Rhinolophus ferrumequinum: one gene and its partner. The protein of the gene in region 1 interacts with the protein of each later gene in a biochemical or structural test. Links are inferred from orthologs where the notes say so. Each region holds a gene or a part of one and is shown on either strand. Other genes may lie near its edges. The genes, in order: COPS7A and COPS4.

Region 1 (15,350 bases):
AAACTAGAGAGGTCAGGGAAGTTATGGAACCATCAGCTGGAATTAGCTTACAGGAAAATGGGATACTAAGTTCAAGAGAAAAACGGGCACGGGCAGAGGGATGGGGTACAGGTTCAAAGCCAGGAATTAGCAACTTCTACACATTGGAAGGTGTGGGAGGAAGAAAGGATTTATTGCAGAGGTAGAGACTGAGAATCAAGGTGCAACAGGCTCACCAAGCTTGTCTAGAGAAAAACTAAAATGAGAAGCCAAGCGTGTCAACTCCTGAAACAGGGCTCCGTGGACTGGGCCCATTAAGTTTCCATTGCCTCTCAAGACAATACACTCAACCAGCCCACTTTTAATTGAAAACTCAGGATCTTTCTAGTTCTATGACTGAATACCTTTAGGACCAGTGAAGAGTGTGTCCTAAATCTCCACCTACAGAATAGCACAAACTCTGGAGAGCAGCTCAGTCAACACCGGGACCCTTAGAAAGCAACTGCTTCACATGCAAGTGAGGTGCTCAACAGTCCCTTACACTAGAGCTTCCCAATTCTAGGGAGTGCACAGCAACCCACGAAGCCAAGGAGATCAATCGTCTCAGGACACTGCGAGGGAAGCTCTCCCTTGGGCAAAAGACAGTATCCTGACTCCTGCTTCTTACTGTAGATCTGAGAGTTCTGTGTGATTGTGAAGTAAAACCTCAAGTTTACTGGCAACTCTTCCCCCTTATAATTCTATAAGGTGGAGGGAAACAGGCTGAAGTCAAGCTCCTTGAGAGCAGGGAATGACCATCATTTTGCATCTCCAGTGCCTATTACATGTTGGTGTCAGTAAGTATCCACTACTTCTAAATGAATGTTGAGATACTGAGCATTTTGTCCAAAGTCATATAGCCCAGGACTCAGCACACAGTATCTGATTCTCTTCTTTTTCCAAAATTTTGCTTTAGAGTGGATTGGGAATGAACCTTCTTCCCATCCACAAATATCAAAGACAGAAGATACCCAGTTCAGGGCATGTTTGTAGATAGACTTCTCATAGATTTATTTCTGTGTTATGTTATATATAGATTTATGTATATATACTTTTTTTATACAATCTATATCCCTTTCCCTTCCCCACCAATTTCACAAAAGGAAGTATAAATCCTTCCAAGACTGCCATCAGGCTTTCCAAGATAGCCAGCGCCAAGAAAAAAGCATCTCTCAACATCTCAAGAAACAGCTACCCTTCTTAGGCTCTGGGGTCATTGAAGCAGCAGCATTCCCAGGACCCAAGGGGAGGTGCGAGGAAAGGAAACAACTGTCGTGTGACAGAATTCTAGGATGAAAGTGTCCAGTGACTCCTACAAAGGCGGACTGGCTCCTAGAACTCTCAGAGTGGGAATAAAAGTGGCTCTGCAGATGCTGCCCAAATAGGCTGGGGGTAGGGAACAGAACTGGGGATTAGGCATGCAGGGGTGAGGTGGTACAACAAGGAACATATGTGGGTTATACTGCAGGCATCGCAGCCCCACCTACTCAATGACACATAATAAACAAGGACACATGCTGGCTCTTAAAAATATACGGGAGAGAGCATGGCAGCGAAGATAAGTAGGACAATGGGACACATAAGAAAGTCACATAAAACAAAAAGTACCAACAAAAACATGACTTGTACTTGCCTCCTCCCTAGAGAAGGGGTGATCTATGCTTGGGGTTGGGGAAGAGAAGAAGGGAGGTGAAAGAAAGGTCATGAACCTAGGATTATCAGCTGGCCAGGGGCACAGGAAGGCTCTTTGAGGACTCCTAAGGGGCAGGCAGACAGCTGGGATCCCGTATCTCCAGCGAAGAAACGACAGTCCCTTCAGTTCGACTTGGACCAAATCTTGGCACTCCCTCGGAGCCTGGCAAGAGAAGACAGAGAGGCTGCAGGGACTCCCCAAATGCCTAAAGGCGCCCCCATCCCCTACCCCCATGACTAAAGGGAGTGAGGGCAGCCAGGTCTCTGAAGGAAAAGCAGGGCACCTTGGAAGCAAGCAGGTCCTGCCACATTGGCTTACCCCTTGCCTTTTGAGGCTTTCTTGCTGGGCTGGCGCTGGTTGGTGCCAGCAGCTGGTTCCCTCAGTTCAGTCAAGTGTTGCTCAGGGTCCTGAGATGTGGCTGCGGCTGCTGCTGCTGTTGTAACTTTAATGGTTTTTTTAAGGTTGGCGACCTGCCAGGATGAAAGGAGTGGAAGATAACAAGGAAGGTTCCAGAACCTGACAGTCCCTGCCCACCTTGCCTGTCTGCTCCAGCCCCTGTCCAAACCCCTTTGCACTGGACAACTGGCCCAGGCTGCAGGAGCCTGGGTCTGTCTTGCTGTCCTGCCAACTCACCTCACTCTCAATCTGCTGCTTCAGGCCCAGCTGCTGCTCCTTGTGCTGGTTGGCACGGCTCACCTGCTCCTCGATGCCTGACAGCACTACCTCACAGCCCACACACCTGCAGGAATCGGGAGTGAGAAGCAGCAGGAGAGCTGTGATGACAGACTCACTAAAAAAAGATTCAGAAAGGACCCTAGATCCTGGTATCCAAACCCTTTTCTGAGTTAGGAACCCTCACCAGGGCACCTGGAAACCACCTGCAACAATATTCCCAGGAGCCAGAAGGACACTCAGGTAGGAGAAGAGAGCTATAAGGAAGTACCTGGAGTGATGTATAAGATGGGATTAGGAACTGAAAACAAAATGGGATAGGAGAAGCTAAAGAGAAAAAAAAAAGGTGTATGAATTAACTAAGGTTAGGGAAGGACACAAGGAGAAAAGCCAAAGTGGAAGAGGTCCAGGACCTATGGACAATCAATGCTGGTTACAGATCAATGGGTTGAATCCAGCCTAAGAGGTGACCAACCTCCCAGTGAGGATCCTCTAAGAGTACCACTCCCCTTTCCCTCCCCCAATTACTATACCAAGGACACCATCTCCTGCCTCTTGCCTCCCAACCCCTCCTCCACTCCTTTCCTCTCTGAGAAGCCTTTGGAGGAACAAGCTCATTTCCCTTCATCCACCTGGATTCCACCTCTGCAGCCCAGCCCAGCCTTCACGCCTCCAAAGCACATCTCCCTTTCTTGGGGTGAGAAGAGAAGGGACAATGCCAGGACACAGGTCTCACCACTCCTGTAGGGTTCGGGCAATGGCACTGAGGTCCTGGCGCTGGATGTCCCGCCCAATGCTGTAGTCAACCTCTAGCCGCTGATTGCGCTGGTCCAGGGAGCCACGCAGCACATCGGCGTACACAGCCTCAATGACAAGGTCTTCCAGCTGCCTCACGTTACGCAGGGCAAGGGCCTCCAGCAACACTGCATATGGGATACACTGGGGCCCAGGGAGGTCGGGCTGGGATTTGTGAGGTTCTGCTGCAGAGAGAGGCTTCCAACATTCTTCTTCCTTCCTTTCCCCAGCCTAGGCTCCCCTGCCTACCCTCCCCTCCTACTCCTAAATATGTCTTCTAAAAGGTTGGTTCTAAAGCAAAATAAATAAAAGTATTCCCACCTGAAAAATAATAGCATGAGAAGGACAATCTTAAAATGGAAGATTTATGCTCTCCTCCCATCCTTACCTCCCACACCACAGAGGAAGAAAGTGACCTCTACGTGGGTGTCAATCCTCTGGCCACAGCTCAAGGTAGCACTCAGACCTTGGTCAAGATCAGCTTGACATAATGGGAGTGTGTGGTGAGGGAGAGGTCCGGAGTTACTGTTCACCATTTACACACTGCGTACTTCCAAAGAGGCTTCTCACAATAGAGAGCCTGATTTAAGTAAAATCATGAAAACAACGGGAGAGCCTAGTAACAATTGGGAGAGTGCAGATGGGCGGGAGGGGGATATTTAACGAAAAACCAAACCTAACAGGAAATATAGAGACACTTCCAGGTTACATTATTTCTTATTCTAGGAAATAGAAGCCTAGTATTCCACCAGCAGACAGAACCGTGTTCCCAGCTCTGAGCGTGGAGGCTGTTTGGATGGGAATTTCTATAATGGGGAGGAGGGTGATTGTTGAACAACACAGTGAATGGCATCCTAGTTGCTATTTGGACCCAAAACTAAAGATGTTTAGAATTTGATTAAAAAATTAAAAGAACAGAAAATTAAGAGAATATTTAGCCTAAAAGGCTGCAGGTAATGGAGTTCAAATACAGACCTTGGAGGGACATGGCGGGGAAAGCAGAAAGAAGCAACAGTGTGGTCAACGGCTGTCCAAGTACAAATTCTCTTCAGACAGGCCCTTGTGAAGGGCTATACAAAAGGATGCTCTTTGGCTCAGGACTGGGGGAACTATCACTCACCTTGACTTTGGCAGCCAGGGTGACGACGGACAGGTGTCGAAGCTTATTCTTCTGAGCCTCTGTGAGCGGGGGAAGATTCCGGGCTTCAGCTAGGAAAAAAGGACAAAGTATAGGAAATTCTGATTCCCTTCTTGTGGGAAGGCCTAGCCTCCTTCCACTGATTTTTTTTTTTTTCAGTTGTCCATGCCAATTCAGGCTTGACCCAAGACTCTGTGTACCTAAGGGATCTAAGTAGGGTACCCCAGGAACTTCTAAGTCCCTCCAGAAAATGCCCTTCTCCCACCTCCACTACTCTAGAGCTCCAGCCCTCTGGTTACCTAGGTAGTCAGCATATGTCCCATAAGCAAACACCGTGAGCAGGCGGAACGTTGAAGCAAAGTCACTCTCAGCCAGCTGCAAGAATATGAGGGAAGAGATGACAGGAAGAAGGGCCTCTCTGTTCACCTCCTCCCAGCCTTTCCCTGTTTCAAACCCCACTTTCTGGCCCCATCGTTCGTCTCCATTAACTCTCCCAGCTCACTGAGAGGAACTGTCTGCATCTTTCATCACTCTCCCCATAGGAAGGCCTCATTTCCACCGCTAGGCCTTTGCTTACACTGCTCCCCCAAACCTACAATGCCCTCTTCCTCCATATGCCCCCAATTCCTACCCTAAATTCAGAGTTTAAAACATTCATAGCGTTCAGTATCTAACACACACACACACCCAACATTGCAAATGGTGTTGTTTGGTCCTTAGAGTGTGTTTAATATTTGTGAGTTTGATTATCTTTAGGCAGTTTGTTATACTCCCCTATTCACCAGACTCCTGCCTCAGCCTCACTCATCTCTGACAGCTACATGGCCTAGGCAGTCATTGGAATTTGTGGCCTCTGCTTCAGACCTGCCTCACCCAGGGGGCTTTCTCATCCAGGGCAGCCCACCTAGATCTCCTTTTCTATCACTGATCACTCATTCTGGCACTTATTCAATCAAACCCTACCTAAGGTTGTTACCTAAGAATGTATTTCTTTCCAACAGGATTATAGACCTAGTCTCTGGTATCCCACTTAGGTCTAGCAGAGTTAAGTATGTAGTTGGCTCTCTCAATAAATACTTGCTAAATAAATGATATGTACATGTATATCCATTCGTCTGATCTCTGTAACTGGGAAGTAAGTTTCAGAAGGATAAGCTCTATTGTCTCTTACTTTTCTGGCATTCCCAGACAACTAGCAGAGTGCTAAATATACATACAATATGTGCTTTTTCTTCACCTTGACTGAATATCTTTAGTTCCACTGCAGAGGAAAGCAGGGAAAGAAGGCAGCCAGTTTTCTCCGTACCACAGAGTGATCCCAGAAGGCTAAATCCGCTGACTCAATCACTGGCCCTCAACAATTTAACTCATAGTTTGCCCACATACCACTGTCATAGCATCTCAGGACTTGGGCTGGTGTCATATATCTTGGCGACTCACCCACCCTGGATTTTAAACTCTTAACTCTGCCACGTCTGTGTGAATAGTTCTCTATGCTGTGTTTCTAGCATCTTGCCACATGTCTTTATGAAAAAGGACAGCTTCTACCTGATCTAATTTAAGTGAATTAGCATATGGTGCAAAGAGGGGAGTACAGGGCATGCCAATCTCATGTTACATTCCTTCCATTTATACCCGACTTCACACTTTCTCATAATTTCATCTGATTTTTATAGTAACGGTGAGGGGGCATTATCAGCTCCATTTTTAAAAGAGAAAACTGAGCCCCTAAAATAAAAGTATCCTGATCAAGGTGACATGATTATTAAGGGCTATTACATTGGTGGAGACAGGCTGGAATCAGGTCTCCTATTCTGAATAACAGGCTCTTTTGCTTAAGAATATCGGGTTTCACAGATCACTTATCCTCAAAGGGAAACTAAGAGGCTTACTTGTGTACTTAGTACTCTTGCAAGATGCCAGTTAATCATCATCCTATTCTTGTTCAACTGAATGGTTATGGGGTTACAAAATGAGCCCTGCCCCCCCATTCTCAAATTCAAACTTTAGCCCCAAGCTTCCCTGTGGGCTATCCAGGTCAGGACCCACCTCTCTAACATTAGGCATATCCAGCAGTTCCCCAAACACGTAGACACCAGGGGCCTCCAGCACTTGGTGGATGAGTGTGGCCAGTGCTGCCCCCTTGGCCGACTTGGCCAGGAGCAGAAATTGCTCCTGGTTCTGCCCTGTCACCTTCACCTCGGCACTCATGGCTGCACTGAGCTGGGGGTACTTGGGCTCAGGATGTCTGGACCTGAAAGGAAAGAGGATGTGAAAATGGAGGTCCCTAAACAGTGGGGGAATGGGAAGCACAGGGCTAGGGGCTGATTGCAGAGGCACCGAGTCACTTCTGCAAAGAGGAATCAGAGACGGAGCAGTCTAAAGCTCGGACCTCGGAATCCTAATACGGGGCCACTTTGATGGAAGCCTGGCTGATACAAGGTTGCCACGCCCACCCTCCTCCCACACTTGGGCCTAACCCCAAAACCCACCACATGCACCCCAATGAACCCCAAAGCACAAGATGCAGTGGGGGAATGGGTGTCACATGGTGTCCATCCCAGTGACGACGCTACCTCGTATCTCCACTTGTGTCCCGCAGGTGCCCCCAACCACGTGACCTCACCCTCAAGATCCTTCCACGTGGCTCCGCCCCCTCCCTTAAAGAGGCCGCCCCGGGACCGCGGGCTCCCGCCGACTGCTGTGTCGTACCCTGGAATAGACTCTGCGGGCCGCTACCTGGAAGCTTCGTCTTCCAGAGCACGGGGCGGGACCGTCGCTCCGTCACCTCCGGCAGCTGTTCCGAGCCTTTCCTGCCACCTCCATGCAGGGTCGCTCTGGCCACTAAACTCTATGGATGACTTCCGGCCGCACTTCCGCTCTTACTAGGCGGGTTTGGGGCGGGATATTCCTCGCTCTCGCCTTCCGACTGCTGAAGTAGCTGTGAGCGACACACGCATTCTACTCTCTGATTGACTGTTGAGGAAAGACTGACGGGCGCTTTTTTCGTGCTTTGTTTCAATAAAACTTTATTGTTGGCCAGCGCTAGACGCTAACTGTAGAGAGAACCTCTGATCTCAGGCAGGTACCGGGTGGTTCTGTGTCAGTTCCAAGCTGCCAGAAATCTGGAGACCTGGCTGCACGGGGGTCCCTGAGGCGAGAGGAAGGCTGTCATGGGAAAAGAGGAGGAAAAACAGGGGGGAGGGGCGGGAAGCGGGATTTGAGGAGGAGAGTGGAAGGAGACCATATCAATAATAGAAGTTTAGCAGCAGAGATCATCTGGGTAGTTCAACCACTCATTTTTTTGAGGAGCAAGAGAAAAGAAGTGGAAAAGGTAAATAACTTACATGTATTGAGTCAGGCATCTTTTAAAATTTTATCCCATTGAATCCTCATAACTACAGCGTCCCTAGTGTGACTCCTGGACACCATCTATCTTGATTACAACATGTACTTATAGAGTGATGCTTTCCTGAACATTGACTCTTTTAATTCTTTGGGGAGGAAAAAAACCTAGGTGTAAGGAAGGCATGTATTATTATCGTTTTACAGATGAGGAAACTGGGGTTCAAGTCTTTTCAAACCCGAAATCATCTTTCCACTTCACCATGATACTTTTTTTTGGGGGGAGGGTCACTATTTATTTAGGACAAATACTCCACATCTGTGATTCTCTCCAGTCAGAAGTTCTTTGAGACGATGCTGACAGCCTTGGCCAGTCGGAGAATGGAGTCATCTGACTCACCCATCCTGTGAATGGCCCCACAGATAGCGTAGGTTTTAAACGCCATTGAACCTGCCTGTCACCTTGTCAACCTCAGACACATTCATCTGGATGGATGTATGGTCCTTGGCGCCGATGATATGGTTGCTGGCGGGGCATTTCTGCGGCACATACAGGTCCACGAACTCGCCTGCGTCGTTCTGCACGTTGGGGGAGCACCTGGTGCCACCACGACGAGTGTGAGCACAGAAAGCTCACCATGATACTTTAGGGGAAAAAAATTAACTAACATTTCTATACTGTTTTATATTTCATACCGGGTTTGCAGAAGTTCAGATGAGAATAAAAGTTAATGACGTCTTGGAGGCTTTTGTGTTAAGCACTGAGCTAAGAGCTTTACTTAATTCGTTTGATGCTTATAACAACAACCTATTATTGTTTCCATTTTCCAGATTGAAAATCTGAGAGCCAAGGAAGTTAAGTAATTTATATGTAAATGAAAGAGGAGAACGTGGAAAAAGAGGACAGTAAATAAGAGAAAATCATAAGACTGGTAGACTACTGCAGCTGAAGGGACTTTAAACTTAAAATTTATGGTCCACATGGTGTGGTTTCTAGAAGAAAATGGGAAGCAGAAATAGGAAAGGAGAGAAAGAGAAGAAAAAGAAGAAGGAGAAAGAGGTGGAAGAGGAGAAAGAAGAAATGAATGGAAGAGATGACACATAAAAGTGAGAAGAAATCAAAGACATAATAAAATATCCAAAGTTTGAAGGAACCAAAGAATTATGAGTTCAATCTTATCAATTTAAAGAGGAAAAGAAAAAAAATGAGGAAAGAACGAGAAAAGAGCCAACTATGTTCTATTATGTTCTATTAGGTCTTTATTTTTAAAACTTTTAAAAAAGTCTTTATTTTTTTTAGAGTAGTTTTAGGTTTACAATAAAATTGAGAGGAAGGAACAGAGATTTCCCATATAACCCCTGCTCCTACACATGCATTGTCGCATCCAGCGCAACAAGGGCAGTGAGGGTGCGAGAAGGGGCGGTTTGCGTTAAGTTTTTAAGACAGAAACAAACGGAGACTTAATGCAGTTAAATCTCTCAGAAGGCCAGGGGTCTGTCAGTCTCAGAGGGCTGGAGCCCAGAATAAGGCTGACTGAAGGTTTTTATTGATAGGTATACAAACACAAGAAAGTAACATTGTTTCTTACACGGTCTGTGAGACTCATACATCATAGTAGAAAAATGTTTATTCCAATCACCCTTTGTCTATAAACAGCCGAAGCACAAGGTCCCATGATGTCTAACCTAAGGTATGTACCTTTTTAGGGTCAAGTCTCTCATATTGTAACAGCTCCATTGAGATAAGTGAGAGAACTGATCTTTGTTGTCTTCATGATTTTTCTCACAAACAGGTGCAAGGGAAAAGCCAGAGCCGGCAACAGACTTTCCCAGGCAGGGGGAAGGGGAGGCAAGGCCCCTTTTCATATTTCTCTAAGGCAGCTCATTAGGGGTCCCCACTCGGTTCCGCCTGGCTTAGGTTGTATCTCCCATGAGGTATCTTATGTCTTTGGCTGCAAACCATCTTTTGGGGACCGGACAGAGAGACATAAGGTGTAAACACAAGGATGGAACAGAGTCCCAGAAAGGCACAGTCTTACAGACTCTTCTTTCCTTAAGGAAAGACACGGGGGGACAGTTGGCTAGGCTGCTGTGTGACTACAATGCATAACTTCCCCCATTATCAACATCACTCACCAGAATGGTACTTTTTTTTTTTCCAAGGATGAACTTATATTGACACATTATAATCATCCAAAATCCATGGTTTACCAAAGGATTCCCTTTTGGTGGTGTACAATAAGTGGGTTTGTATGACATACATCCATCGTTTAATATCACACAGAGTATTTTCACTGTCCTAAAATTTCTATGTTCTCTGCCTATTTATCTTTCCCCACCCCCCACTCCTGATACCTACTAATATTTTTTTTTTCTTACTAATCTTTTTATTGTCTCCATAGTTTTACCTTTTCCAGGATATCATAGTGTGGGAATCATACAATATGTAGCCTTCTCAGATTGGCTTCTTTCACTTTAAGTTTCCTCCATGTCTTTTCATGACTTGATAGCTAATTTCTTTTTAGCACCAAATAGTATTACATTGTCTGGATGTACCACAGTTTATTTATCCATTCACCTACTGAAGGACATATTGGTTGCTTCCAAGTTTTGGCAATTATGAATAAAGCTGCTATAAACATCTATGTCCAGTTGTGTGTGTGTGTGTGTGTGTGTGTACATAGTTTTTTACTCCTTTGGGTAAACACCAAGTAACGTGATTGCTGGGTCATGAGTAAGTGTGTTTAATTTTGTAAGAAACCACCAAACTGTCTTCCAAAGTAGCTGCACCATTTTGCATTCCCACCAACAATGTATAATTCCTATTGCTCCACATCCTGGCCACCTTTTAGTGTTGTTAGTATTCCAGAATTTGGTCATGCTAATAGGTGTGTAGTGATATCTTGTTTTAATTTGCATTTCCCTGATGACATAAGATGTGGAGCATTTTTTCATATACCTACTTGCTGTCTGTATATCTTCTTTGGTGAAATCATTGTTTGGGTCAAATTGTCTGTTTTCTTATTGAGTTTTAAGAGTTCTTTGCATATTTTGATTAATAGTCCTTTATCAGATTTGCCTTTTGCAAATATTTTCTTCCAGTCTGTGGCTTGTCTTCTAATTCTCTTGATATTGCCTATCTCAGAGCAGAAGTTTTAAATTTTAGTTAAGTCCAGCTTATCAATGATTTCTTTCATCAATCATGTCTTTGGTGTTGTCTCTAAAAAAGGCATCACCATACTCAGGGTCATCTAGGTTTGTACTTATGTTATCTTCTAGGAGTTTTATAGTTTTGCATTTTACATGTCCCAGTCTATGTAGGTCTGTGATCCACTTTAATTTTTCTGAAAGTTGTGTGTGTATTCAAAGTCTGTGACTAGATTCATTTTTTTTGCATGAGAATGTCCAGTTGTTCCAGCACCATTTGTTGAAGAGACCATCTTTGATCCATTGTATTGCCTTTGCTTCTTTGTTAATGATTAGTTGACTATATTTATGGGGGTCTATTTCTGGGCTCTCTATTCTGTTCCATTGATCTATTTGTTTATTTTTTTGGCAATACTACACTAGCTTTATCACTATAGCCTTACAGTAAGTCTTGAAGTCAGGTAGTGTCAGTCTTCCAACTTTGTTCTTCTCTTTTAATATTGTATTGGCTATTCTGGGTCTTTGCCTCTTCATATAAACTTTAGAATCAATTGTTGATATCCATAAAATAACTTCCTGGGTTTGTGATTGGAATTCCATTGAATCTGTAGGTCAAGTTTGGAAGAACCTGACAATATTGAGTCTTCTTATCCATGAATATGGATTATTTCTCCATTTTTAAAGTTTCTTCTTTAATTTTGTCCATCAGAGTTTTGTAGTTTTCCTTATATAGACTTTATATATATTTTGTTAGATTTCTACTTAAGTATTTCAGTTTTGGGGTGCTAAGGTAGATGGTATTGCATTTTTTATTTCAAATTCCACTTGTTCATTGTTAGCATATCAGTAATTAATTTTTGTATATTAATCTTGCATCCTTCAATCTTATTATAATTGCTTATTATTTAGTTCGAAAAGAATTTTTTTGGTTGATTCTTTTGGAGTTTCTATATAAATTATTACATCATCTGCAAAGACAGTTTTATGTCTTCCTTCCCAGTTTATATACCTTTTATTTCCTTTTCTTGCTTTATTGCATTAGCAAAAATTTCCAGTATAATGTCAAAAAGGAATGGTGAGATGGGACAGCCTTGCCTTGTACCTGATCTTAGTGAGAAAGTTTTGAGTTTCTCACCATTAATTATGATGTTAGATGTATAGGATTTTTGTTATTGTTGTTGTTCAACTTTTTATAAGTTTTAATGACAACCCTTTGAGGTGCATATTAATATCTCAGTTAACCTGTAAAAATACCAGGGATCACAGAAGTTAATTTGTTGTGGCGGCCAGATGGTTCAGTTGGTTAGAGCGTGAGCTCTTAACAACAAGGTTGCTGGTTCAATTCCCACATGGGCCAATGAACTGCGCCCTCCACAACTAGACCGAAAACAATGACTTGACTTGGAGCTGATGGGTCCTGGAAAAATACACTGTTCACCAATATTCCCCAATATAATAATAATAATAATAATAATAATAATAATAATAATAATAATAATAATTTGAAGGTCACCAGTATAAGTGGTGGAACTGAGATCCAAATGCAAGTTTGTCGGATTCCAACACTGTGTTAAGAAAGAGATGAAAAAAGAAAGAAGAGAGGAAGAAGAAAGAGATAATTTGAGATCTAGTCTTGATTCAGCCATGAACTAGCTGTGACCTTAAAGCAAATTGTGTCATCTGTGGTATCTCCTCTTTCATGTTTGCAAAGTGAGAGATAAATAAAATCCCCAAGGCCAATTCTGATTCTGATGTTTTATGGTTCTGTGAGAAAAAGAGGAGGAAAAGGAGAAAAGGAGAAAACAAGTGGAAAAGGAGAATTTGGAGAAAGAGAGGAGAGGGATAGACAAAAGAAGTGAGATCAGAAAGAGCAGAGACAGAAGAGGAGGAAGAATAGATGTAAGAAAGAAGTAGAAATGGGAAAAGTGGGAAGAAAAGTAAAGATCTCCAAGGGGAGGATGGAAGCTAATTAAACTTAAACATAACCTAGGATATATCGTTCATTCATTTGTTACTAAGTGACAGTTGTGTACAAGGCATGTGCCAGGTGCTGTGTTTTTGTTGTTGTTTGTTTGTTTTTAATTTTTATTGGGGAATGTCAGGGAACAGTGTGCTTTTCCAGGGCCCATCAGCTCCAAGTCGTTGTCCTTCAATCTAGTTATGGAGGTCACAGATCAGCTCCAAGTCCAGTTGCCGTTTTCAATCTTAGTTGCAGGGGGCGCAGCCCACCATCCCATGCGGGAATTGAACCAGCAACCCTGTTGTTCAGAACTTGCGCTCTAACCAACTGAGCCATCGGCTGCTCCAGGTGCTGTGTTTTTAATGCTAAGGATAGAACACAAGATGCACTTAAATAAATCCAGAGAGGCTGACTGACATTCAAGGTGTCAGACACATAATAAATAAAATATTCATCATGGATTCAAAAGGTATATATTGAGCACCTCTTATTGCCAGGCATTGTTCTATCTACTAGAGATATAGACACAATTCCTGCTCTCTTGGTATTTACATTTTTTTGGTGAGACTCAGGCAATAAATACATAAATATACATATACATAAATATTATGTAGAAAAACAAGAGGGAGATGGAGATGTTTTCTGTTTTATATATGGTAATAAAGAAAAGCCTCTCTAATAAGGTAACAATGGAGCAGAGACCTTAAAAAAAAAAGAGCAAGTCATGTGAATTTCTTTGAGGACAGTGTTCTAGGCAGAGCAAACTACAAGTACAAAGATGAGAACATATTTAATGTATTTGAAGAACAGCAAGGGGACCTGTATGGCTAGAGCAGAGTGAGCAATGAGAGAAGTAGTGGAAGAGACCAGAGAGAGAACAAGCCAGATCATATCAGACCTTGTGGGCCATTGTAAGGACATTGGTTCTTCCTTTGAGTGAGATGGGCAGCCAAGGGAGGATTTGAGAGAGGAGTAACGGGATATAACCACCCATATGTTTAAAATATGATGGCTGCACGGACAGAAGTAACAAGTCCAATTAGGAAACTACTGCAATTATCTAGGCAAGAGATGGTGGTGGTAGCAATGGAAGTGAGAAGTGGTTGGGTTCTGAATTTGATTTAAAGCTAGAGTGAACAGAATTTGCAAATGGATTAGATGTGAGGTGTGAGAGGAGAAAGGGTTAAGAATAACGTCGTACAGGCAAGCTGCACCAAATTTCAAAATGCAGATCATTTTAACCTTATACAAACTTTTCCTGAAAAATAGGAAAATAAAGGACACTCCTCAACTCATTCTATGGGACCAGAATTACTTTGATAAGCCAACCAGAAAAGGCAATACTAGAAAGGAAAATTATAGGTCAATCTCATTTATTAAGAAAGATATAAAAATCTTCAATAAAATACTAGCAAACTGAATCCAGCTATGTGCAAAAGAGATCAAAATCCAAGACTAACTTGAATTTATATCAGGAATTTCAGGGTAGCTTAATATTAGAAAATGCATTCATTTTATTCATCACATTAAGAGACTAAAGGAATAAATCACAGAATCATCTCAATAAATACAAAAAAGCACGTGATGAAATCAACAAACATTTGTGATCAAAAAATCTTTTAGAAAGCTAGAAGGGCACTTGTTAATCTGATAAAGGAATGCCTGGTATCACCAATTCTATTCAGTCTTTTAATGGGGATCCTGGCCAGAGTCAGAAAAGGGGAAAAGAAAAGTTGAAGGATTACATAAAAACAGAAACAAAGCTGTTACCATCTATAGAAAGTGTGAAAATGTGATAGCATATGTAGAAAATTCAAAAGAATCTACAAATAAATTATTAGAAAAAGAGCTTAACAAAATTTCTTGACAAAAATGTACAAAATCAATTATGTATCTCTATATAAACAACGAGATGATGAATAATTTTAAGTTACCACTTGCAATAGAATGAAAAATATCAAATACCAAGGTATAAATGTAAGAAAATATGTGTAAGACCTATATGCAGCAAATTATAATTTGTTGTGAGACATTGAAGAGGGCCTAACATAAATGGAGAAATATTATCATGTTCATAGATTAAAAGTCTCAATATCAGGAGGAAGTCAATTCTCCCCACAGTGATTTATAGATTCAGTACAATCCTGATCAAAATCCCAACAGCCTTCTTTGTGATTGAGTGGAACTGACAAACTGATTCTAAAATTTACATGGAAATGCAAAAGGACAAGAATGGACTCTTGAAGATGAACAAGATGGAAAGACTTGCTTTTTACCAAATACTAGAATATAATTACAAAATCATAAAAATTGAGATAGTATTGGCACAAGATAGATAAATTGATCACTGGAACATAATACAGAGCCAAAGAACAGACTCACATATATATAGACACTTGGTTTATGAGAGTTTGCACTTTTGAGCAACACATTTCAATGTTGCTGTGACCATTGAGTGTCTATATGAAAAAAATAAAACAAAACCCCTACCTTAAACCATATACAAATATCATTACCTACTATACAATAGACTAAATGTAAAAGACAAATTAAAAGCCTTTTAGAAGATAATATAGAAAAAT
Region 2 (16,088 bases), on another chromosome or scaffold:
AAAAAAAGTAAGCTAAAAGAAATATAAAAAAACAAACAGCATAAAATCCTAACAAGAAAGAGAAAACAGGTGAGAGTGAGAGCATAAAGACGTGAATCATAGCTTCTGCCTGAAAGCACTTGCTGACTGTGGCAAGACAGAGAGGTAGAGTGGCACTTTTGGTGGGGCGAAGGAGGTGGGTTCTGCTTTGAGGCATTCCGCCATCTGCTGGAAAAACAGAGAAGCAAGTCGCAATTTCTGGCCAACGAAGAGAGCTATACCAGAAAAACAGGGATCTCAGTTCCTTGCTGGCCAAAGGAGGAAACACTGGCACTTTGGAAATAAGATTACAAAATCTATTCCAAGGATCACCTAGGTAAATCAAAAAATTCTGAAGCCTTGGAACCTAGACGGCTAGCATCCCCAGGTACCTACCTGGCAGAAGGAAATGAACATCCTCCCTGAAAGGTAACATCCTAGGCCTCCAATTGTTTCTAAAAATACATTTTTAAATAATTGGCCTAACAAATGAAGATTACAAAGCACATGACAATATGAACTAGAATCAACAAAAGCGACAGGCAATAACAAACAGGAACTCCAGATACTAGTTATCAGAAAAACTATAATACAATTGTGTTTACCATGTTTATAGAAATAAAGACAAACTAAAGTTTCAGCAAGAAACTGGGAATCATAAAAAGTGTAATTTGAAAAAAGAACTACGAAAAACTGTAGGACTAAAATACTATAATCAAACTTAAAAACTCAATGGTGTTCTTAACAGCACATGTGAAGAACTGATAAACTAGAAAGCCGGTCAGAAGAACTTATCCAGAATAAAGCACTGACATGGTAAGTATAGGAGACAGGGTAAGAGACAGAGACCACAGTAAGAGGGCCAACAGGTGACACTGGAGGAGAAAACAGAATGGGACAGAGGCAACATTTAAAGAACTGTAGCTGAGGGGGGGTGGTTTATCACTTTGTGAAGGGTGTACAGGTCAATTACGCTGTTTTGTACACCTGAAACTAATTTATAAAAAGGGTAAAAAAATAATAAAAGAGTTACAGCTGAAAACTTCCCAGGGCAATGAAATAATCCAATCTATTGATTCAAGAAATGCAGTGAAGCTCAACAAGGATAATACAGTAGAGCATTTACAAAAAGAGGCCACAACTCTTTCACTTGCTGTACTAAGTTCCTTTGCAATGTGACTTTGTAGCTCTTCACAATTGAGAGGTAGTTTATTTCCGCACTCTTTCATCTGGGCTACTTTTGACCAATAGAGTGGAGAAGTGAAGTGCCTATTCTGAATCTAAACCTCAAGAGGCCATACATACGTCTTTATCTCTTGGCACCTTGCTGTTGTCACATGAACAAAGCAGACTAACCTATTGGATAACAAAGTATGTGGCGCGTGGCGCAGTCATCTCCACTGCCCCAGCCAACACGCAAAAGCAGAACTGCCTACCTGACCTGCAGCTGACTACAGGCACATGTTCGAGCCCACGTGGAACCCAGGCCATGTGGAGCAGAGAACCGTCCAGCTGAGCCCAGCCCAAACTGCCAACCAACAGCACTATGAGCTAAATAAATTACTGTTTTAACCCACTAAGTTTTACAGTGGTTTATTTCAAAACAAAAACTAATATTGATAAGTAAAAAAAAATCCACATAGACACATCAAAATGAAGTTGCAGAATATTAAAAGACAAAATCTTAAAAACAGGTAAGGGCTAATATAATTTTTTAGGAAAAATAATTTCCTAAAGAGGTTGATCTTTAAGCATTCTAAATATCTCAACTTCGTGGTAAGTGAGAAAGAGTGGGGGAAGACAGGCATGCTAGGCAAGAAAAAAAAAAATGACCATCTGAAATGCAATCCAGTTTCGTGAAAATAATATAAGGCCAAAAGGCAGATGTGTTTAGAGGTGAGGGCTATGAGCCAAGCGGGCTGTATTCTGGCCTTGCCACTAGCTAGCTATGTGGCCTTTGAACAAGGTATTCTACCTCTGTACTTCAGTTTTCTCATATGTAATATAAATCTTACTTTTTAAGAATCATTAAAAATGTCAGTAAAGTTGTGCTTGGCACAGAGTAAACATTAGATGTTAGGGAACTTCACTCTTGCGATGGAAACCACTAAACTGTTATGTGTGGGAACAAGAACCAGAGAATTTGAGTTAGAAGGGGCCTCCGAGGTTATACGCACATCGTCTATATGTTCTGTTTCGTGTGTGTGTGTGTGTGTGTGTGTGTCCTCCATTTTTTGACGGTTTTATTCCACTCTAATCCAAAGTCTACTTTTATAAAGCAGAGGAGTCTCTTTTCTTTCCTGTAAAACAGCTTTTCTATTAGTCAAAGGCACTAAAAGGTCTCCCATTACTTCCCTTTCTCCAGGCTAACAGCTTCTTATAAAATGAAATGTTTAGACTCCAAAGGTCTGATAGCTTCCTCTGAGTACCCTCCATACTGCAAAACTGGAAAGAAAAGAAAAATATAAAAGGTTCTATTTCTATAAGATTAACTCAACAAAAACCTATAATCCAACCTCATACTTGCCCTCAAAGAAATCATTCTAACTGGAGAAGCAAACAAGTAAACAGACCAAACAATTAAGCGCTACGATACAGGGAAATATAGGATGCCACTGAGCATAAGAGCAACTAACCAGGTCCTATGAGTGGGTGGTTGAGTTTATGTTAGTGGTTGTTTAGGGAAGATTTTTGGAAGAAGTAACATCTGAACTGAGTTTTGAAAAACTAAATAGGTTTTAGCTAAGTGAATAAGACAAGCTATCACAACAGCTATCTACTCAAATGTTCCCTGTTAAGGCTCTCTTCCTCTCCTTCTTGTCTAAGGCTTTTTTTTGAGAAAATGAACACAATGCATATATGTACAAAAGCAGCCTATAAAATTTGCAAAAATGCTTCTCCTATGGCCATTTGTTTATATCAATTTTACACTGTTGTGTTAAATCACAGTTATGGGAAACTATTTCTAATTGAAGTTTTGGCAAGAAAAGCAGTAGAGGTTGGTAGATTAAAAATGTGCTTTTTAGAGTAGACAAACCTGGATTCAAATATTAGTCCTGCACCTTTCTAGATATGTATTGAATCAAACAATATTTATTGAATGACTGCTCTGTTATAGATATCTTGTTAATTGCTGGGAACACATAGTATCAATATTTTAGAAACAAATTTTCTCCATCATTCCTTAATATGGAATGCTATGTTACTCAACTCCTAATGGAAACCCAAAACTACTGCTATATTTCATGAGGGTTATTCTCATAAAGCATGTAGCTGGCAGAACTATTTTGTTACTAAAATAAATATCCTGACACGTTCTTGCCCACATAGAACCAGATATGTACCTGCACGCAAGGCTGAAACTTTCCTCAGAAAGCACTGGCTATCAGTTATCAAGCACATTATCTCTTTTAATCTTCACAGAACTCCATGGGATAGATTGTTTGGCCTCCAATGAATTATGCCTCCTTCTGACCAAGCGCCTTTGCAATGTCACTTGGCCACTCCCTCCATAAAAAGGTAAACTCCATTTCCCCTCCCCTTGAATCTGGGCTGCTCTTGTTACTTACTTTGGTACTTGAGAAGTGATGTTGTAAGACTTCCAAGGCTAGCCTTAAGAGGTCTTGGCAGTTTCCACTCTCACTTTGTTGGTCCTGTAAGGAAGCCTTAGCTAAACAACTGAATGAAAGACCGACCATGTGGAGAGAGAGAGAGACCCAGCCAACAGCCATATATGTATGTGAGTCCATTTTAGCCCCACCAGCCCCAGCTGAGCTGCCAGCTAACTGCACCTGTCTGAGTGAGCCCAAACAAGACCAGCAAAACAGTCTAGTCAACCCAAAGAATCCTAAAAAAATAATAGTTATTCTACACCAGTAAGTTTTTGGTTTGTTACACAGCAATAAATAACTGAAGCACCCAATAAGATCGGTACTATTGTTTATCTGCAATTAGAACTGAGGAATTAAATGCTTAAGTTTCAGAATTCTGCAAATACATAAAAACTACATCTCTTCTGATAACTAATGCACTTATTTTCTTCAAGAAAACAAAGAAAGCAAGCATGGGAAAAAAATATAAGCTAGTTTTACTTTCATCCAAACCTATAAAAATTAGGTTTGCAAAAGGATTTGGTTTGCAAAAATGCAAAAAGGATTGAGCCATGAAGACATATTCAACATATTTTCAACCTATAGAATAAGTCAATATGTAATTATTAACTGCTTAATAATAATAATAGTGACAATCTTGTGGCACTTTCTAAGTGTCAGGTACTGTGCTAAGTGATATAAGTATTTATACACACATACTCATTTTGTCCTCAGACAGGAATAAGTCCTCTAATTATCCCCATTTTCCTGAGGGGGAAATTGCCACAGGAAGTAAAACCTACGATACACGGCAAAATTTCCTACTGATAAAAGTAGATTACATTTACCACCAGAGAAAAGGCAGCAAAGCCCACATAACACACAGTCAAGGTTTCAATGGTCAGGTAAGAGTAGGTGTATCCTATATATCAAAGTGATCTCAGCTGTCAGGATGTAAATACTACGTAGGATCAAATTGAGATGCATACTTTAAACAGAATGCATGTTCATTATAAAAGGACAGCAATGTGAAATCTACAAAGAGAAATAGACAATCTCTATCTATCTATGATTAGCACTGTTGAATAACTGCTTGCAGTGCAGGCAATTGTCACGAATTTTAACTTGCTAATAAGCCATCTACACAAACTTCGACAAAATTCCTAACCAATCCAGATTCCTACAAACATCACTACTCTCGATATCCTGACCCATATTTTAAGGACATTCCGACCATGTGCCCTTCTTCAGAGTTGGTGGCAGAGAGAGAGTACCCAAAACACAAGAACCCACAGAAGATGATCCGAGTGGTTCCGGACGACATGATAGCGGCCATACCTCCTCAACGCCCAAGAGCCTCAAGAAGCCATCTCCCTAAAAAACTCTGCATCGAGCTCCCAGAATATAAATTTCCCTCAATTTAAAAAAAAAAAAAAAGAGGTCCAAAGAGGTGCCAGAATTCGGTGTGAGAGGCCAGCCAGCGATGGAGAAAGGCACCAGGGAAGCTGAGAAGGCCGTGGGAGCAGTCGTCCCTCAGACCGCGCTTCCACAATCTTAAGAGACCAGTTCAGCTATCAAGCGCTGAACAAATTGACAGTCACCCTAGGTCTATGGTCCCAAGAGCTCCCTGCACGAGGACTCCTCCAGCTTTCTGCTGCACCCAACATTTGCCTCCACAACCGACCTCAGGCCCGCCCCCCTGATCCTCAGGGCTGCTCCTAGCCACACATCCGAAAGCCTCCGTCAACCCAAGGGGAACAAGTCTGTGGCTTCCCTCCCCACCTCCCATGGCCTTGGGAAATACTCACTTGCCCGCCAGATCTTTATGAGAACCGCTCGAATTCATGAGCTGGGCCAAATCTTGTCGCACGGCTGCCGCCATCTTTCTTCCAGCTCAGCCGAGGCTGCCGGGCCTCTCACAGCCAAAAAGAAAACGAGTGTAGTCCTCCAGAGCGCAGCCAGAGGGAACCCGAGATGCCATAGAGTAACGTCTGTGTGGGCCAGAGCGCCGGGTGTGTGAGCCTGCGCTACGTCCGCCCCCAGGGTTGAGTGACGCGAAGGCTCCACTCTTCAAGTCCGGAGCCCGCCCTGGCCTCTCCCGCAGGCTCAAGCTCGCACGCTCGCAGTTCGGATTGGCGGACGAACTCATAGTGTGTCACTTGTGCAACTCCAGTAAGTGCCGGGTACGCAGAACCACCGCGTCTTCATTGTGTTCCGTGCTTCACCTCTGTGGTTTACCGTTCCTCGTTCTTTCAGGCAGCTCTTAAACTACCTGTGGTAAAGAACGAGTTGCTTTTATTGCCAATTTATCACAGCCCAGTTCTTTTGTAAAATACAATATAAAATGTCCACATCCCCCCTCCTACTCTATATCCTTTTTATAGGTTGGTCATACATCCAGTTTGTCCAGGACAGTGCCGTTTTCCATCTGTTGTCCAGGAGTAATTATTAATAACACGTCCTTTCACTCTAGAAACAGTACCACCTGGATGACAAATTATACAGTCACCCTATCTTTATATGTAATTGTATTCATTACTTATCTATCCACAGAATACTGCAAATACAAGCAAATAAATAAATGTAAGTCTTTCTCCTTTCTTGCTTTCATAAAAGATGTCACCCCACATCATTATTCTGCTCTTGATTTTTTCACTTTTGCTGGTGACCATACTACCATATAAGTCTAGAGAGCGTCCTCATTCTGTTTTAGAGCTGGAGAATATTACATATAATGAGGGGATGCCATAGTTTATTTAATCCTTAGAGCTAGACACTTAAATTGTTTTTAATCAATCAATGCTGGTATGAATAACCTTATACATGAATCATTTTGCATGTGTACAGGTAGAATATATTCTAAGTAGAGAGTCAAACGGTAGATATAATTTTTATAAATATTGCCAAATTGCACTTTATAGGGATGTTACCATTTTTGCCTTTCTACCAGCAGTATGTAGGAATGCAATGCTCTACAGCCTTGCCTACAAAGGATATCAAACTTTTGAATTTTTGCCATCTTGATATGTAAAAAAAATAACATGATCCCTCTATTGGAAAAGGGTAAGAAAAGAAGACCAGAAGGAGGAAATCCTGTAAGAAAATAATGTGAAGGTTGCCCACATCAATTCAAATCTTGCTCCACTGGCAAGAACTACATCAAGTGCACTTGCCTAGCAACAATGAGACTGGAAATTTAATTTCCAGTTAGGCAGGCTTTTGCCCAGGAAAAAGGAAAGGATTGCTTTAGAAGGACAATCAGCAGTCTCTACTAGTTTGTCCCTCTGACCACCTAAATAACTATGTGTATCTTTCTCCTTACAGAACACTGTCACCCCTAAAGAAGATAGTTCAATTTTTCATTCAGTTTCTATATCAGATCGCTTCTCAGCCTTTTGGCTAAGATCAAGTGTAGTTTTTATATCAGTTCAAAATCCAGGATGTCTGATGATGCACAGTCTTCTCCATTAATTAGAATGTGGATTTTCATGGTCTAGAAACATATAAACTATAAAATATATTATCTGCTTCATGTCCATACCTGTAACACAAAACAATAGTGGAACAGGAACAGAATAACCACAGTCAAAACTCTGAAAAAGTAAATAGGAAACAACAGCAGTTATTTGTCTGTGGCAATAGTGGAATTCTGGGCAGTAATGTGAACACCCACTACCCCGGTAGTGGAATAAGTTCCTCGGTTAAACCGTAGTTCTGCTCTTTGAGAGGATCTCTATTGTCCATTGTGTTCTGTGGGCTCAACCTTTGTCAGTACAGGTTAACAGGGTGTTGGAGAGTATTTCTTCTTGGAGGGAATGCCTTAGGGCTTGAACAACTGGAGGCTTTTGTAGGCCAGGATTCTCAGTGTTTGGTTTTTCAAAAAAAATATAATTTCATTGAATGTTCAGTAAACCCAGTTTGCTTCCAGACAGTTTCAGGTGCCAAGACCAAAACCAAAGTTGTTTCTAGACGTAGTTGTTAAACCTGCCTTATTTCCTAGCTTCCACACTCAACCCATTCTTAATATTTTTCATGATGGCAGCCTTGAAATCATCTGAAACAATAGGTTTAAATGAGAAGAGAATTCTATTAATTTGATTTTTGCTTCGGCTTATCTTTATTTTTTGTTGTTTTTTATTTGTGTTTGCCAAAAAGTTTTAATGGGCTATGAGAAATCTCTAAGCAATGTCTTCTCTTCTGCTATTTAAGGGTACATAAGCACTTGCCTTTTTCAACTTAGTGAAACCCCAGAATTTCTGGACATTCTATTCCCTTTTTACACTGACTCCCAACTTCACTTGTAATTCCTTGCTGAAAGCAAAAAGAAGCAGCCACACACACAAATTGGCTCTTAACAGATAACTCCACTTGAGCTACAAGTTAGGGATGTTTTCTGCCTTCCTACTTAATGTATGCAACAATGTGATAATTTTTCAACATGACAAAGCCTCCCCTTTCTGGACCACTAGTTACCTCTTCCCAACCTCTAAGAGAATAGTACCTATTTTTAGGTTTTGCTTATAGCAGTGAAGAAAAACAAACCCAGATGGAAGCTTATTCTAACCATCTTTTCAGTTGCTTAGCAAGAAGTTGCTAGGCATATCTGAATTAACTGAAGGAAAGTGCACAAATCTTACTTCTTTGTACTATTCAAAACCTGTGTCCTAGTCCCAACCTACTGAGTCAAAATTGTCATCTTAACAAAATCCCTCTAGTAATCCTTGTACATTAAAATTTGGGTAGTACTGCTCCAGCAGATGCCAACACAACTGGTATAGCAGCTCTCCTCACTAAACTCTTGTCTAATAACACCATTTCCCTGGCTAGGAAACTCCCATTTTTACATATTCAACTAGATGTTCTATCCCCTCAATTGCCCCCCAAACAAGCAACGGAAGTCATCCTGGGGTCCTTTTCCTAGCTCATCTTCCATTCTAAGTCCCATGTGTCCAGGTCGTATATGCCTTGCTGGAGAAGAAAAAAGAACATAGGTGAGTGTATGTATTCTGCTGTTTTCTAAGCACTAATTCTTACTCTACGTTTATTCCACATGTTGTTAGTGCTGTGTAACAAATTTGTTTTAGAGTGATCTTGTGTGTTTCCTAGCCTAGACCCAGAATTAGCCATTTCTCCAAGAAGCCCTTATTTCTTTAGTTCCTCTTAGGAACTGATATTTACAGATAGCATTCTAGTGCTAGGTATTCTCATTGCTACTGTATTGGTCATTTGGGGAAATTTTCATAGAACAGAACTAGGAAATATATACATATTTTAAGGATGAAATAACTCATGAGTTCATACTGGTACTCCAAATCTAATTTAAGTGTTTTTACTTAACCTCTCCTGTGTATTACAACTATATCTCCTTGTACATCCAGAATCCTGGTTCACAGTACATAGAGGATTAGAGAATCAGTAAGTTTCATAATTATTCATTTCATTCATTCCATGTTATACACACAACAGCCTCAGCATAACAATACTAATACCTACCACGCCCCAATATGATTGCTGAAAAGAATTCAATATTTTCCTGCTATTCCTCTCCCCATTTCCTCTCATTTTTGTAATTCTAGTATGTCTATATTATGAGCACATACAGCCATTAAAACAATACTTTCTTCATTTCATCTTAGTTCTATAAGTAATACATATTTAATGCTCACCATTTGCTCTTATATTGATACCTCTCTAGCCATCTTAGTTGTCTGAAGCTAGTTCTTTACTAGGTTTCTCAGGAAGTGCTCATGAAGACCATATTCTTGCATGTTCCTGTATGTTCGTAACATCTTGTGCCTTTTATGTTTGAAAATCTGTTCTGTTAGATATAATAAACCTTGATTCACTTTTTGAGAATCTTAAGTGTGGCTGGCACTCCATATTCTTGTGACATAAAACATTTTTGAAAAATATCTCATGAGAGCCTAATTTTCTTTCCCTTATAAATCACTTACTCTTTTTGCCTAATGCTCCCCAATTTTTCCTCCTCTAATATCAGGTAATTTTACTAGACTATATGCTGGTGTTGGTCATTCTCGGTCGATTTTCTCAGGTACACAGTGTGCCTTTTCAATATGTAGTTTCAATTTTTTTCAACAACATTATCTTTAATTATATTTTTGTACTTCTTCTTTTTGTTTCTTTCTTCAGAAACTACTATTATCTATATGTTAGATCTTCTTCACCTAGCTTTAATATTAGTCATTTTCCTCAAAATCTTTTTATTTCTTTTTTCACATCTTTTTTTATTTTAAAAAATGTCTTCCTTTTTAACTCTCTTAAGACACCACCTGCCATTTTTATTTACTCCTGGTTTCCTCTTAGTTTAATCTTCATTACTAAAATGTTATTTTTATTTCTAATTCTTTCCTGAGTTCTGCCACATATTCTGGGTGTTTCTTTCATGTCCTGTATCATTTTCCTTTAAATTTAACTAGTGTGAAAAGTGTATTAAGGCTTAAATAAAAGTATGTCATCTTTTCAATTTAACTAGTGATTACTTTCCCTTTTCTGATATTCACTATCAAACACTTTTTCTGTAATAATATGTGAGAACAGGTATTCAGCCATTTCCTCCCTTCTAGACATTTTAGTCCCCCATTGTCTCTTTATTACACCTCAATAAATGAGACTCATAATATTTTTAATTCCCCACCCCTCACTCCTAGTTGAGACCTTTAGAACATACTTACTTTTGCCCCTCTATCACCACATAATTCCTAGGTTTCACTAAGAAAAATTGGTACTTTTGTTCCATTTCTCCAAGTATTTGGTTTTCCTTTGCAATGTGTCTATTTTAGCAATCCTTAATTTACTACTTGTGTTATTATAATTCCTAGTGACCTTGTCATTATTTACTTACATTGCTGTGTACATTTAAAGAAATTACTCACCACAAATTTCCCTTTTCTTCATCTTCCCTGTCTTGATATGAGGTCTCTGTTCTGATTGTTTTATTGTCTGGTAGTGTTCACTCTTAGGTGATCCCTCAGATGCTGTGCATGGGTACATTTGTGAATCTGCATATTCACAAATATCTTCCTATCATCCTGACAGCTGAATGAGATTTGCGCTGAGCTGCTGGCTGTCTTTTTCCCTCAGTGAACTGTAAATGGTACTCCAGTCTTCTAGCTTCTAGGATTTTAGATGAAAAGTCCAGAGCCAGTTTCTCTGTCTCTCTGTTTCTCTCTCTCTCTCTCTCTCTCTCTCTCTCTCTCTCTCTCTCTCTCTCCCCCCCCCCCTTCTTCTCCCTTTCTTTCTTATCTTTGAGAGACTGAATATGCAAACAGAAATGGCAAGACCATATATAAAAATAAAGCTCTGACCCACAATCTGTAGCAATCATTCCAGGAAGCCAAACAACTGTAGCAATCAGCCCAAAATGTCAACTACTCCATAAATAACTGACAGATTCCCAAATTTTTGCCCCTACTTCTAACTTAGGTCCCACCAGCGAAAGCCAAGTATGTTCCCCTAACCAATCACATAGGGTGCCCCACTTCAATTAAGGCTGCTTGACAGCTTCCCCATGCCAACAGCCTCTAATTAGGGCGTACCTGAATTTCCTTTGTACCACTACAAAGCTTTCCCACTCCTCTGCCTGCCTTTGCCTCACTGTTTAACAGGTGATGGTGGCCAACTCCCTTGCTATGAAAAGCTCTGAATAAATAGCCTTTAATTGTTCTCATTTGGTCACTCTGTGTTTATTTCCACAACTTCCTCTTCTTTCTACTTCTCCCTTTCCTTTTCCTCCTCCTCTCGTTCCCCCAGCTCCCTGTCCTCCTTGTTCTTCTTGTTTTTCTTCTTTTTATAGGTAACTTGTTCCTTCCACCTGGAAATTTTTAAGATCTCTTTACAGTGGTTTTCCTCAGATACGAAGTGTGTCTTTATTCATTGATCTTAGCTGAAACTCCATGACCCCTTTCATCTGCAAATGCAAGTCTGTCCTTAGTTCAGGGAAACTTTTTATTATTATTTGTTTAATTGTGACCTCTCTTTTACCTGTTCCTTTCTCTCCTTCTGAAACTCCAAATAGTCATATATCAGGTCTCTTGGATTATCTTCAAAGTGACTTGCCTTTGCCTCATAATTTCTCTCTTTACATTTTTTGCTCTGTGATTTGAGATATCTTTTCCACTATTTGGACTTTTCCACTATTTAGCAAGATTTAATCTCCTGCAATATATCTTCAATGTTGTGTTTTTAAAATCATGATTTTCATATGTTTACTTTTGTAAAAATGTTATAGCTGCTTTATTTATAATAGCACCAAGTGAAAACAACCCAAATGTTCATCATCAGGAAAGTGGGTAAACTAGGTGTGGTATATTCATTCACTAGAATATTACTTAGCATTGAAAAGAAAAAAATTACAGACACGTGTTTAAAAAAATGTTCACCTGGATATACAAGTAGTATCCCATCTAGCAACTAGAAAGGTGCTCCAAGGAGTTTTACAAAGTGGAAGGTTTTTAAAGGCAGAAAGAGGGTGGACAAGAAAGTAAGGAGAGTGGATTATTTCAGGCAAGGTTACCTTCCCTTAGGGGAAGTTTTATCAAGCAGATTACTTAACTAGTGTTGACCAGGGAATTCCATCTAGACTGATTTGTTTAAAATTCCACTCCTGGGAGAGGCTGAAACTGCAGTATGGTTAGGTGTAAAGGCTTTGTGGGGCTTGTCAAAAGCGAGTCCATTTTGAATTTGTTATATATTTTTAACACATGGAACAACATGAATGAATATCAAAAACACTATACTGAGTGAAAGAAGCCAGACATAAAAAATTTATATAGTCATCCCCCCTATCCACAGGGGATAGTACCAAACCCTATATATACCCTTTTTTTCCCCATACATACCTACCTATGATAAAGTTTAGTTTATAAATTGGACACAGTAAGAGATTAACAACAATAACTAATAATAAAATAGAACAATTATAACAATGTACTGTAATAAAAGCTATGTGAATGTGGTCTCTCTTCTCAAAATATCTTATTGTACTGAATTCACCTTTTCACCCTAAAGCAGCACTTTACAGCTTCTCTTTGGCACATCCAAATTGCCAGCATCACTACTCTTGCTCTTTGGGGCCATTATTAAGTAAAGTAAGAGTTTCTTGAACAGAAGCACTGTGGAACCATCTCAGTCAATCTGGTAACTCAGATGGCTACTAAGTGGCTAACGGGCAATAGCGTATACAGCTTGGATAAGCTGGACAAAGGGGTGATGCATGTCCTGGGCATGATGGCGCGCGACAGCACGAGATTTCATTATGATGCTCAGAATGGTGCACAATGTAAAATGTACGAATTGTTTATTTCTGGAATTTTCCATTTAATATTCTTGGACTGGCCTATGGTTTGCCATAGCTTGATTGTCCTGAATTGCAAATGAGTTTATTCAGGAATAAACTCATTTGCTAGTAAAATAATTGGCTATTTTATTTTTGAGGTTGACATTATGGTTCCATCTACATGTAGTTCTAAATGTGATAAAACTAGTCTATGGTGATAGAAAATCAGAAATTGTCTGGGAAGGGTGACAGTTTACTGGGAAGTAGTAGGAGGTGATAGAAACGTTCTATATGTTGGTAGGGGTGGGGGTTATATGGGTGTATATATTTATCAAAGTTCATCAAACTGTACACTTAAGATCTGTGCATTTCACTAAATGTAAAACCTCAATTTAAAAAGGGAATGAAACTATGCTTTTTGTTCCATAGTCTCGTGTATAGATATTGAATTTAGTCTTCTTAAGTGCTTTTATTTATGTATTTATATGTTATTTATGATTTAAGTTGTCTTCTGTCTTCTCTAGTGGTTTCAAAGGCTAATGCTTATCCAGCCTCAGAGGAAGAGAAGTTTCAACACAATGGTTCTGCTTCCCCAAAGCTCCTCTGGTGTCAGGATGACCAGCAGGTCCTCTTAAGAACAGTGCCCAGCCAGGTCCTATTCTTCCCCTTAGAGGTCCATACACTTTCTCCTTCTTCAAGAGTGTGTTCTGATCCTCTTCCCTTTTGATCTCTAGATTCACTGTAACCTTACGCTTCACTCATGCCATCTACTGCCCACTGTGTCTGTCTGCTGGCTCCCATATACTCATGTTTCAAGTGGGGTCATATAGTTGAATTGGAAGTGGAGAGAAAAGTGAAAGAGAGAGGTGAAAAGCGAGAGCTCTGAGAAATACAAAGACAATTAGAAAGAGGTGGATTAGGAGACTAAGTAGAAGGACTATGCTGGGTAAAAACTGGGATGAGAATTGTGGTTCAACAATAGAGACCCTCAGATTCTCTTAATAAAATAACACCTGGAGGAGTTCCAGCTTCTGCCTCAGTATAGAGTGCTGGAAAAAGCATTGCTCTCACCACCACCACAATAATCTAAGTAATGTACAAAATCATAACTTTTTCTGAGCCAATCAAAGAGCTGAGGTCACAGGGCAACAACTAGCCTGAAACCTAAGGAAAGACAGGTGCTTCTAAACACAAATGAGATGCAAGCACTGGGTTATCTGTGGCAGAGCTTGGGAAGGAAGATGGTGTAGCCATACAAACAGGAAAGAAGAATTCTGCTAAATTTTAAAATAAATTGCTAAAGACGGAGTGTGGGCTGGCAGGGAACCCCATGGGAGGCACAATCATAAGGGGAGTTCACATCCACTCCCAGGGTCTTCTCCAGGGACTTCCACGGGGCACCAAGGACAAAGATTTGGAGTAGGGTGGCGGACAGAAACAGGCTGCTGGGTGGTAAAGTCCTAGAGGAGAGGAGTGGCTGCCACTGTAAGAAAGGCAACAAGACGCCCAGACCTTGTCCCCCAAGGAACAAAAGACTTCCATTGATGGAGGAAGGCAACAAACCTGTTTTTCCCCAAAGGACATGTGGAGACCCATTGCAGCTGGAGGAATAGGAAAAAGGGGAAAAACCTTGAATCCTGGGAGAGAACTGGAAACTGTTGTGCCCAGACCATTAGAGGTTATAATGCTGAGGGAGGATTAGGGCCACGGAGACCCAAGGACCCAGAGCCTGCCCAAGAATGAAGTTGGAACAGGACCCACCGCAGAGAAGCTGTTTTCCTTCCCCTCATCCCCACAATCAGTCTAGCAAGCACCAAGTAACAAGCATTCACTGCTGGAAAAAGGCAAGAGCTTAGAGTGACCCTCTCTGAGTGGCAAGAACACAGAAGGCCTAACTAAAACTGGACTTAATGACAAATGGACTCATGAACAAAGGAACTTCTGAATAATCTTTTGGAAACTAACCTAGTTTAAGAAAATATTATTCACTAGCTTATAACCAGCAGTATGCCTGGCACACAATAGATGCCCAGTAATACATTTATCTATGGAGAGGCCTACCCAACTCATTCCTCTATACCACCACCTTTTCGTTTTTTTCTATCGATATTTCCCCCATTATTTTTAAAGGTCTATTTTTTTCTACTTGTTTATTGTCTGTTGCTTCCTCTAGAACTGTGCTGGTCCATATTGTAGTCATCAGCCACATGTGGCTATTTAAACTTAATGACAAATAAAATGGAAAATCCCATTCCTTAGCAACACTAGCCACATTTTCGTTTCTTGACAGCCACATGTGGCTGCTGGCTACTGTATCAGATAGTATGGCCATAGAAGAGTCCCACCACTGTGGAAACTTCCTTTGGCTAGAGCTGCTGTCTTGCTCACCACTTTATTCCCAGTGCCCTGCATGGTGCTTGGGATCTAGTAGATGACCAACGCATATTTGCTGAATAAATGTTTTTAGTTCATCTGGAAAAGCCATCACATAAATGTAAAGCAAAGATCCTCTTTTGAAATATAGATGTTTTGAATATCAGTGGCTCTTAGGAGCTAAAATCCTTTCTTTGAAAAAGTAAAAGATTAGATTATAGGTTAGGCTGTATTGTAGCTTTGATTATTAATAGTTTTCAGTCACTGAGCACTTACCATATGCCAGGTGCTGTTCTAAATGCTTTACACATACTACCTCATTAATCTTCACAACTACTTAATGATGTATGCACTATTTCCAATTGCAATAACTGACATGCAAGAGGAAAGGAAGTTGCCCGACATCACACAGCTCTTAAGCAGCAGTGTCAGAATTTGGGCCCAGGCTGTCTGGCTCCAGAGGCCAAGCGATTAACCACAACACTAGCTAGCTCTGTGTGATTATTTTTAATAAGAAACATTTAGGCTCTTTTTCCCAGTATTTAAAACTTTTTCTCTTATTTAATTGCATCTAGCTAAGGCACCCTGAAAAATGTTAAATAATAGCTGCTAAAGCCCTGCATCTTTGTGAGTTCCCTGGCTTCAATGTGAATGCTTGTGCCATTTCACTCTCTCTAATGTATAATGCTACTGTTGTTTTCTGATGACGATCTTGATCCAATTAAGGAAATGGTCTTTCATTTCTAGTTCAGTAAGAATTTTTAAATTCAGAAATGGCTGTTGAATATTATATAATGCATCCCTAGAGAATA

The links.
Region 2: the proteins of COPS7A (region 1) and COPS4 form a complex in vitro, tested with the Homo sapiens proteins (2 studies listed by BioGRID). The link is inferred for Rhinolophus ferrumequinum from reciprocal best matches to the Homo sapiens genes COPS7A and COPS4.

What each region holds. Positions count from the first base shown.
Region 1 is NC_046293.1:23,923,140-23,938,489, reverse strand, and holds COPS7A (COP9 signalosome complex subunit 7a), read right to left. Parts: upstream 7,201-15,350; 5' UTR 7,056-7,200; exon of another isoform or gene 6,893-7,055; intron 6,571-6,892; 5' UTR 6,528-6,570; coding exon 6,366-6,527; intron 4,692-6,365; coding exon 4,616-4,691; intron 4,388-4,615; coding exon 4,299-4,387; intron 3,323-4,298; coding exon 3,120-3,322; intron 2,451-3,119; coding exon 2,345-2,450; intron 2,182-2,344; coding exon 2,030-2,181; intron 1,874-2,029; coding exon 1,834-1,873; 3' UTR 1,003-1,833; downstream 1-1,002.
Region 2 is NC_046288.1:37,913,609-37,929,696, reverse strand, and holds the start of COPS4 (COP9 signalosome complex subunit 4), read right to left. Parts: upstream 6,063-16,088; 5' UTR 5,491-6,062; coding exon 5,417-5,490; intron 3,672-5,416; exon of another isoform or gene 3,588-3,671; intron 1-3,587. UniProt on the Homo sapiens protein: Component of the COP9 signalosome complex (CSN), a complex involved in various cellular and developmental processes.